Linked DNA regions of Arabidopsis thaliana. The protein of the gene in region 1 interacts with the protein of each later gene in a pairwise test. Each region holds a gene or a part of one and is shown in the gene's direction. Other genes may lie near its edges. The genes, in order: MOS6 and AT2G45820.

Region 1 (5,499 bases):
GCGTCGGAGGAGGAGCAAGCCGCTTAATAACGGGTTTTGGCGGCGAGTTGTCGAGTCCTTTGGGCAGTTGAAAAACGACAATGTTACGGTACTTCCATCGTCGTCTAATATTACGATACTACCACCATCATCTTCTCCGGTGACGGATGAAGTTCCGGCGAGTAGTGACGATCAGGTATCGGAGATGGTTGAGGTTCTCACGGCGACGTCTAGTTCTTGCTCTTCGGGAATCTCGGGATATGGATCAGCAAAGTCGTTGCGAGATATGGATTGTCTTGATGAAGATGATGATGATGATGAAAATTATGGTAATGATGATGGAGGTGATGAGATGATTGATGCGAAAGCTGAGGAGTTTATTGTGAGATTTTATGAACAGATGAGGATGCAAAATCAGGCTTATACAGAACGTTACAAAGCTAAAGAGATGATGATGGTCTAAATCGCACATTGTAATTCTATTCACTGAAGCATAATGTCATATTACATGAGTATACATATATGCATGGAGACGTGCACAGAGTTTGTCTTTGATTATTTCGATGATTTTTTTTTTTCGTCTATTATTTCGATGATTTAAGTAATGATATATATATTGTATTCAGTTAGTCTTGATTGTATACTTTTATAGTAGACGATGAATTTGTACGCAAACTATATTAAAATATATTTATAAAACTGATGTCATTTTGGTTTACTATATATCATCTTCAAGTCATAATGCTAGAACCAAATTGCAGCTAGCTTCTTGTGAGTGATATAGTAGATGATGAATTTGTACGCAAATTATATACATGACTCTGAGCTTCTTTGGCAGTTTTCCTAGGGTGTCATATACATGACTCTGAGCTACAAGCCTTTGTTGTTGTCATATTTCAAGCAATTCGTTTTTTTCTTTTTTTTCTTTTGAACCAAAAACCCAATAATGAGTTAAGTAGAAGTTTATAATTCACTTATGGGTACAATCCAATATAATTTAGAATTTTCCTATTGGTTTGAGAATCCAATTTGCTTGAAGAGAAAATCAGAGACATGGAAGCTAAAGAAGAGAGATTAGAAGTTTATGATGTGGAGAGTAAATTGAATCGGTTGCAATTCGGTTTATTATACTAGATTTTTGGTTTGGCATTAGGTTTATGACGTTAACCTAATAATAAACTACAAAATTTGGTTTTGTGGAGACTAAATTCTCTAACTTTCGATTTAGGAGGATATAATAATTTACCTTCTATTTTGTGTTGACTGTAAACGAAGTTCTAAATCTGTGTAGTTGTGGTACTATGTGAAACTGCGTAGGGGAATAGAGGTCGTTCACTCAAGTTTATAAGATGGCACAAATAGAAAGAAATCAATTTAGTTGTTCTCTCATTTGAAAGGAATTCAAGCAATATGGTTGTTCTCGTCTTTCCAAGATGCATTGAATAGTAAAGCATCTAATTAGTAAAGTTCTCATAATGCTCAGTTGCTCACATTGATCTTTTTACCCCTTTTAATTAGAGTACAGTCTTGTAAATTACGTTGTTTTAGCCAAGTTTGGCCTATGTAATAATTTATTTGGGCTTTAAAAAGCCTCTTCAAATTAGAGTATTGCTGCTGCAGAAAAAGAAAAGAATATTTGCGTGGAGAAAATAAAGGAAAACAAATCCATAATTAGTAGTCGGTGTATACATACCTAAAAAGGCAGAGAGACGTTAAGATTCAAATTTCAAAAAAGAAAAAAAATATGAGTGGCAGGTTCGTTATTAATGATAAAACTTAGGGGCAATATTGGATTAACAACAAGTCTCCTGAATCGTGGCCTCCTAAGTACACGCTCTTGTATAAATACACTCGCATCAAACTCCAAAACCCTTATCACTCTCTCATTAATCGAACTTGGCGTGTTTAAATAATCTTCCGATCGTTAATTCTCTTCCGATTTCGATTCGATTTTAGCGGCGATGTCTCTCAGACCTAGCGCGAAGACGGAGGTGCGACGGAATCGGTACAAAGTAGCGGTCGATGCGGAGGAAGGACGGCGGAGGCGAGAGGATAACTTGGTTGAGATCAGGAAGAACAAGAGAGAGGAAAATTTGCAGAAGAAGAGATTTACGTCTTCTATGGCTTTTGGCTCAGCAACGGGACAAACGGAACAGGATCTTTCTTCAGCGAACCAAGTATGTGATTCTTTCTTTTGTTTACGATTCCACCTTTAGTTTTTTCTGATTTTATGTTCCGATTTGATCAATTAGATCGTCTCTGTTTCATATGAATTTCTAATTGGAGATCGATTTGTTCTAGATTTGAAGTTCTTGCGATGTTTCTTTGTTTTTGGTCATAGATTTTGTATTTGATTGCAAAAACTTGCGATGTGTATGTGTTGTTTGGTGAGAGTATTTGTTACTAATGTCTGTTTAATTGACTGGGAATTTGAGCGGTGTTGAATTTGACATGTAAAGAGAATTAGGGTTGATATCTCAACGGAGATCATCAAATTTACTTTAGCTAGAGGAGATTTTTGACTATGATAGTGTCTCTTCGTGTTACAGTTAAAAGATAATCTACCTGCTATGGTTGCTGGAATCTGGTCAGAGGATAGCAATTCACAATTGGAGGCAACAAATCTCTTGCGGAAACTGCTTTCTATTGGTTTGTGATTTATGTTATTGATCGTTACTAGTAGTACATAACAATCAGTGTTTTGGTTAGAGTCTTTAGCAGTTGTTTTTTCTTTTGTAGAACAAAATCCTCCTATCAATGAAGTTGTACAATCTGGTGTTGTTCCTCGTGTTGTGAAGTTTCTTTCCAGGGATGACTTCCCCAAACTTCAGGTGAGTCGCAGCTGCAGTCGTTTTTTTTTGGATATATTGATAGTTACTAGTTTGATGTATTTGTTAACTTGCTTTTGCTGTTTACTTCTGCAATGTGTTTTAGTTTGAGGCAGCTTGGGCGCTCACCAACATTGCTTCAGGGACATCAGAGAACACAAATGTCATCATTGAAAGTGGAGCTGTCCCGATATTCATCCAACTTCTCAGCTCTGCTAGTGAAGATGTCCGCGAACAGGTATATGTTTAAATCCTCACTGTTATCGTTATTGTCACAGAAGAAACACTTAGACATTAGGATCAAGTGGAAATTCATTGAGACTGTTACCATTCTGAGTTCTGGTCTTTCCCTGACTGAGTATAGGCTGTTTGGGCATTGGGAAATGTTGCTGGAGACTCACCAAAATGCCGGGATTTAGTCCTAAGTTACGGTGCCATGACACCTCTTCTGTCTCAATTCAATGAGAATACAAAGCTTTCAATGCTGAGAAATGCTACATGGACATTATCAAACTTCTGCAGAGGGAAGCCCCCACCCGCATTTGAACAGGTTTCCTTAAATATACACACTTTATTGAATCTCCACAATATTTTTTAACATGCTTCTGATATTTTGTTACTTAAAACATTTTTCGAGCAGACACAACCAGCTTTACCAGTTCTTGAGCGCCTTGTGCAATCAATGGATGAAGAAGTTCTCACAGATGCATGCTGGGCTCTGTCATACCTCTCGGATAATTCAAACGACAAAATACAAGCAGTCATTGAAGCAGGAGTTGTTCCTCGCCTCATCCAGCTCTTAGGGTAAGCATCTGATAGTGATCATTTTAATTTTTATTGCCAGGCATGATTATGTTATCTGATTTATGTGCTTCCTCTTTCTCCGTATAGTCATTCGTCGCCATCAGTGCTGATTCCTGCTCTTCGTACCATTGGAAATATTGTAACCGGGGATGATCTACAGACTCAGGTGCATATAATACATTCACCATTCGATTTCGAGTTTTCAGAAGCAAATGTCTCTAACTTATTTTCCTAACACAGATGGTTCTCGACCAGCAAGCGCTTCCTTGTCTTTTGAACCTTCTAAAAAACAATTACAAGAAGAGTATCAAGAAGGAAGCTTGCTGGACTATCTCCAACATTACAGCTGGAAATGCAGATCAGATACAAGTGAGTTTTGTTTATAATATATGGCATTTAACAAGAAAGTCGAAAATTGAAGTTTCCTGTGTCTGATTTTATTCGAACCCGTATGTGCAGGCAGTGATTGATGCAGGTATAATCCAGTCTCTTGTTTGGGTGCTTCAAAGTGCAGAGTTCGAAGTAAAAAAAGAAGCTGCTTGGGGAATATCAAATGCTACTTCTGGTGGCACTCATGATCAAATCAAGTAAAACCATAAAAACCGAAACGAAATGTTTCCTTAACAAAGAATGGTCATTTCTAAAACACGTCTGTGTTTATTGTTTGTTTCTTCTCAGGTTTATGGTGAGCCAAGGCTGTATCAAACCTCTATGCGATCTCCTTACTTGCCCAGATCTGAAAGTTGTAACGGTTTGCTTAGAAGCACTAGAGAACATTCTCGTGGTTGGAGAAGCAGAGAAGAACTTAGGTCACACAGGAGAAGACAACCTCTACGCTCAAATGATTGACGAAGCAGAAGGGTTAGAGAAGATTGAGAATCTTCAGAGTCACGACAACAATGATATCTACGACAAAGCCGTGAAGATCCTCGAAACATTTTGGACTGAAGACAATGAAGAAGAAGGCAACGACGAGAATCATGCTCCACAATCTGGTTTCCAGTTCGGAAGCACCAATGTTCCTCCTGGTCAATTCAACTTTATTTGAAAGGTAAAATAGTTGAATTGGGTCATAGAAGTTGCTTGGACTTTTAAGTAAGCCACATATCGAACGAAAGTGGTAACATCACAAAGATGAAATATCAATCTTCTCTATCTCTTCATGCCCACTCCTTAACTCGTGGACATGAACTATGAAGAAACATAGTACGATTTTCTTTTCTTTTTGGAAGTTTGTCTCAATAACTAAATCATTTGGGGAAGAGAAACAATTATTCTGTGTTAGCCATCATCTCGTCTTTCAACAAAGTTCCCTTTTTTCATATATTAGTGCCATTACAAAATCGTAGTTATGCCTTAACTAAACCAGAAACATTTTTATTCAATAGTTAATCATTTTTACTCGCAATTTTAGAAAACAGAGAAGCTAGAAATAGTAATATACGCTTGTGGAGGTTTGAGGCAACGGTCAAAACTTCAAGAGCAATATACGCATGTGGAGTTTTTATTGGGTACTTTGGTGTCTAATTACAAATAGGAGAGATTAGTGGTGATTAAGTGGTTATTATCATGGTCATAATTTCTATATGCGAGAAATTAGGGTTTAGGCTATGTGACTAATTCGTGTATTTAAAACACTCTCATTGTTTTATATCCAACAGACAACAAGAACAACAACATAGCCAGATATAATGCTGTCTTCACCAGCTTTTGCTGCAGCACGTTCTACTCTCGGTCGTCGTCTTCATGCGAAGAGACTATCTTCTTCTACTGGTCGAACCGCTGATCCAGAGATTCATGCCCGTAACGATGGAGACGAGCCTAGTCTTTTTCCATCAGACCCCGAGGTATATTTTGACTTTGTTGTTTATATATGTCAAGCTTAGCT
Region 2 (4,231 bases), on another chromosome or scaffold:
CCGTTTTAAGATAGACATACTTATTCTTGTTCGTTAGAAGATTGTTGTTGTTCCTCTTCATGCTTTTCCGTTGAAGCATGAATCTATATCTATCTCAGCTTTATATATATCTATGTTCACAAACATTCAACAGGAAGAGAAGAAAAACGAGAATCAGGTGAGATTAAACGTTACCGAAGCTAGGAGGAAGCTCAAAGGTTTGATTCTGGTGATCGATTGGTGCTCTTCCACGAGGATTTGAATCTTGTTTCACGTTATCTTCAACACTAACCAGAGTTCACATCTTTTGTGTTAATGACGTTCATATTTTTGTGTGAATCTTGTTTACTTTTTAGTTTTTCGAAGAGTTAAAATGTTTTTAAATATTAAATAGATAATATTTTATTAATTAGTAGGAGACATTTGGTCATCCATATTTGGTATTCCTATGCTCAAATCACATATGGACATTGATATGTGATACACAAATGTTTCCCAAATAATCGTCTCTTATTAACGTTGTATTTATTGGTAAATAACTAAATACAAGACCTTTGATGTTCTTAGAAAAATAATCTGCTTACTACAAAAATAAAACTGCAAGAGTTCAATTAATTAAAGTCCTCTTTGGGAAAGTTTGTTATAAGTGCTTTAAACTGAATAAAAGAATCCGAACTTCGAAGAAAGAAGAAAGAAGATAAACCTTAACCCATTAAATAAAGGTCAGTGACATCATAGTCCATATTCGACCACTCATCATCATACAAGACAGATAATTAATCGTAAATAATTCCATGTTGTAGAGTACTTTTTATTATTATACAAATACATTAATACATCTTTCACAGGCTGTTCGAAACTGTGAGTCTGTGATTAGTGATTAGCCTTAATTAATTTACTTTATTGCTTTGTTAGAAAAAAAATTACACCTTTCTTTAAATTAAAACAAGTTGGGCAGGAAATTTAAAAACCCGTTGGGCCATTAGGATTCACAAAAGCCCAACACCTACAAAAAGAGATGTCTCCATCTCATAGTCCATATACCACATGCTTAAACCAGTTTAAATTGCATATACCACGCGCCACATAACCGGAAAGTTTTGTACACGCGCGAGACACAGACATTATCCTTTTTGTATCTGTCTTCCAGCGTGTCGAGTCAGTGAGGCTCCACGTCACCCTTTGATCCACTTAAATTTTAAAACTAAAATAATTGTTTAAATGAATTCGAGTGATTGATATTTTATTATAGATTTAATACACACCCGACACTCTGTCAATTCTATAGGCATACGAGCTCACTCCAAATTTAGATTCAGTTTTTTAATACGAACTTTTTAGTTAAGCCAAGATTAGCAATAATATAGATCATTTATTTTCTTGATTGTAGTTTGATTGTTGTTTTTCTCATAATAAAAAAATCCCAGCTAAAATCTGATTTTCAATTTTAAACCAATTTATATGGTAAACAAAATTTTAGTTCGGTATAATTGGAAGAATTAAGTTTTGTTGAATATCAGGAAAAAAGAAGGGGAGGACAAATTTTCTACAGAGGTGACGTGGCATCATTGAACCACTTTACTTGTCGGCAGTGAGGTGTGTTTAATCACGTGTAACGCATCCAATGCGTATGAGAGCTTTACAGCCGCACGATCACATGGGTACAAAAATCAACGGCGAAGCAAAACAAGAGTCTCACACTTATTAAACGCGCGTAGTACGCTCCACCGGTATAAGCTAACGGAGGATATAAAAACTCTTTAACTCATTATTGTCCTAAAATCTCAATTTTATCCATTTTCACGGAAAAAACATAAAATCTGTTCTTCTTCTTCGGCTGAGAGACAATGGCGGAGGAGCAAAAGACGAGTAAGGTTGACGTAGAATCTCCGGCTGTTTTAGCTCCGGCGAAGGAACCGACTCCTGCTCCGGTGGAAGTCGCGGATGAGAAAATTCATAATCCACCTCCCGTCGAGTCCAAAGCTCTTGCCGTTGTAGAAAGTAAGCTTTCTATTTACATACGTGTGTGTTTTATATATGTTAATCTTCTACTTAGGAGGATTCATTCATGTTTACGATGAATTATTATAGTATGTAATTCAGAATTCTTACGTTTGGAACTAAGGTTTCAATTTACAATTAACAAATGGATTTTCTTAAGATGCCTAAGGTTTTTGTGAGTTCTTTTGCATATGACTTGGTCTATACTCTATTTGTTTAGGTGAAATCCATCGCTGTTAGAATTTACAACTTCATCATGGCATTTTCAAGAGAATTATGTTTTTCGAGGATGATATTATTAAAATATGATTAATAGTAAAGCAATGTTCCCTGTAATTAGTGTTATCAAAAAGTGTATGGAATCATGACAAATTAGTTGTGGACAGCTATGAATTAAGGAAAGTGGGTTACTTTCTTAATATTCCTACATTTTTTCCTTCCTTTAAAGTTGCTTAACTCTTGGAAAATAACAATTAAGTACTAACTTTCCAGCAGTTTTTATAATCCTTGAACATTCATTTGTTCATCTTTATTTACTATCTGTAATTCCTTCTGTGTGGAGTTTCGTTTTATAAACTACTATTTTGATGACCTTATTAGCCAATTAGAGCAACAAAATTTAACTTAGTTAAAAGTGAGCTTCTTGCAACAAATATCCATGTGTTATACTTATAAGTGTGCTTCTTGCAGAACCCATCGAGGAGCATACACCTAAGAAAGCTTCATCTGGTTCGGCCGATAGAGGTCAGCTGATAACAACACTTTGTTTCTCATGTCCAGTTTCTTAGTTACTTAGTTCAGTAATTTACTTCAAATGTGTGTTGTGTGTGTTTGGTCAGATGTGATACTTGCCGACTTGGAAAAAGAGAAGAAAACGTCATTCATCAAAGCATGGGAAGAGAGTGAGAAGTCAAAGGCTGAGAACAGGTAAACTTTCATCATCTTCTCACCCAAAGATTACTATTGCTTACAGATCTCTGATGATCTTGAAATGGACAGGGCACAAAAGAAGATCTCTGATGTGCATGCTTGGGAAAATAGCAAGAAAGCAGCCGTAGAAGCTCAACTTAGGAAGATCGAGGAAAAATTAGAGAAGAAAAAAGCGCAGTACGGTGAGAAAATGAAGAACAAAGTAGCTGCAATCCACAAGTTAGCAGAAGAGAAGAGAGCAATGGTTGAAGCTAAAAAAGGAGAAGAGCTTCTCAAAGCTGAAGAAATGGGTGCTAAGTATAGAGCCACTGGTGTAGTACCAAAGGCAACGTGTGGATGTTTCTAAGCCTTTATTGAATTTGTATCTTTGTAACAATTCATCTCTGTTTCTTTCTTCTTCTTTTGTTTTTGTGTGATTCAACAACTCTTTTTAGTTTTTGTTATTTGTTTGGTCGTTTGTGTCTTGTTTACATATTGGGTGATTGTGTGTAAAAGTGAAAGATTAATGGAGTATAATTGTATGAAGCATCAAATCTTGTTTTGCCTTTTGTTTCAGTTGTACGACTTCACATCTGATCTGTAACTCTTAAAATGCTAAGACACTTGACTTGACACACACCAACTATAATCCTTAAACAGTTCAGGCACAGGTGGAGATCTAAAAGCAATAAACAAGCGAATGAAGTTAAAATGTCTTCTTCGGTTTGATCTCACTACTCGGAAATTCCTCTCAAGTCTTCAAGATGAGAGAACATCAAAATGAAAAGGTGAAAAGGTTTCTAAGAACATGAAAATTAGAGATGAGAGAAGACAACTTTAAGGTTCATATCATGCAGCAGAAGAAGTCTTCAATTCAAACCAAATCAAGCCGGTACTGCTTTAAAGGTTTAGACACAATCAACCGCTTCCATCGCCATCAACCACCTATACTGTCTCTTCTTGCCTCAGTACAGTACTCTATGTGTTGCCTTCATCTCTAGAACGAGCTAGTGGCTGCCAAAGCTGAATGATTTGCCTCCTCACTACACCTAAATAACCGCAAACCAAAATCAATGGAAATTTGGTCTATGAGCAATGCAGGTTAGTTCTAATGTCAAGATGCCTAGAGAGGGATTTGTCTCACCGGTTAGTCCATCAATGCCTTGCCGGGTAGAGAATGTACACCAGGTAGAAGTTACTGACAGTAGATTGCCTTGTCGATAAGTGAAGGTATGGGCTTGATTTCAGTTCCAAGTTCTTGCTCTGTCTGATACCTGTTGGAAACCAAATAATTGAGTAAGAAAGCTATAGCATCTATGAAAAGAGAGGCCACACCAGTTGA

The links.
Region 2: the proteins of MOS6 (region 1) and AT2G45820 interact in binary tests that used the Arabidopsis thaliana proteins (3 or more experiments, as listed by UniProt).

The regions. Positions count from the first base shown.
Region 1 is NC_003075.7:950,044-955,542, reverse strand, and holds MOS6 (ARM repeat superfamily protein), read left to right. Parts: upstream 1-1,852; 5' UTR 1,853-1,940; coding exon 1,941-2,156; intron 2,157-2,528; coding exon 2,529-2,628; intron 2,629-2,718; coding exon 2,719-2,810; intron 2,811-2,913; coding exon 2,914-3,045; intron 3,046-3,171; coding exon 3,172-3,357; intron 3,358-3,447; coding exon 3,448-3,611; intron 3,612-3,698; coding exon 3,699-3,777; intron 3,778-3,851; coding exon 3,852-3,980; intron 3,981-4,070; coding exon 4,071-4,198; coding exon of another isoform or gene 4,199-4,202; exon of another isoform or gene 4,203-4,289; coding exon 4,290-4,659; 3' UTR 4,660-4,997; downstream 4,998-5,499. Other genes in the region: AT4G02160 (cotton fiber protein), read left to right, coding at 1-442; AT4G02140 (uncharacterized protein), read left to right, coding at 5,303-5,458. UniProt on the Arabidopsis thaliana protein: Binds to conventional NLS motifs and mediates nuclear protein import across the nuclear envelope. Acts as a cellular receptor for the nuclear import of the virD2 protein of Agrobacterium, but is not essential for Agrobacterium-mediated root transformation.
Region 2 is NC_003071.7:18,862,172-18,866,402, reverse strand, and holds AT2G45820 (Remorin family protein), read left to right. Parts: upstream 1-1,661; 5' UTR 1,662-1,826; coding exon 1,827-1,980; intron 1,981-2,670; coding exon 2,671-2,724; intron 2,725-2,819; coding exon 2,820-2,907; intron 2,908-2,979; coding exon 2,980-3,256; 3' UTR 3,257-3,450; downstream 3,451-4,231. Other genes in the region: DTA2 (downstream target of AGL15 2), read right to left, coding at 1-79; AT2G45810 (DEA(D/H)-box RNA helicase family protein), read right to left, coding at 4,085-4,163. UniProt on the Arabidopsis thaliana protein: Exhibits a non sequence-specific DNA-binding activity.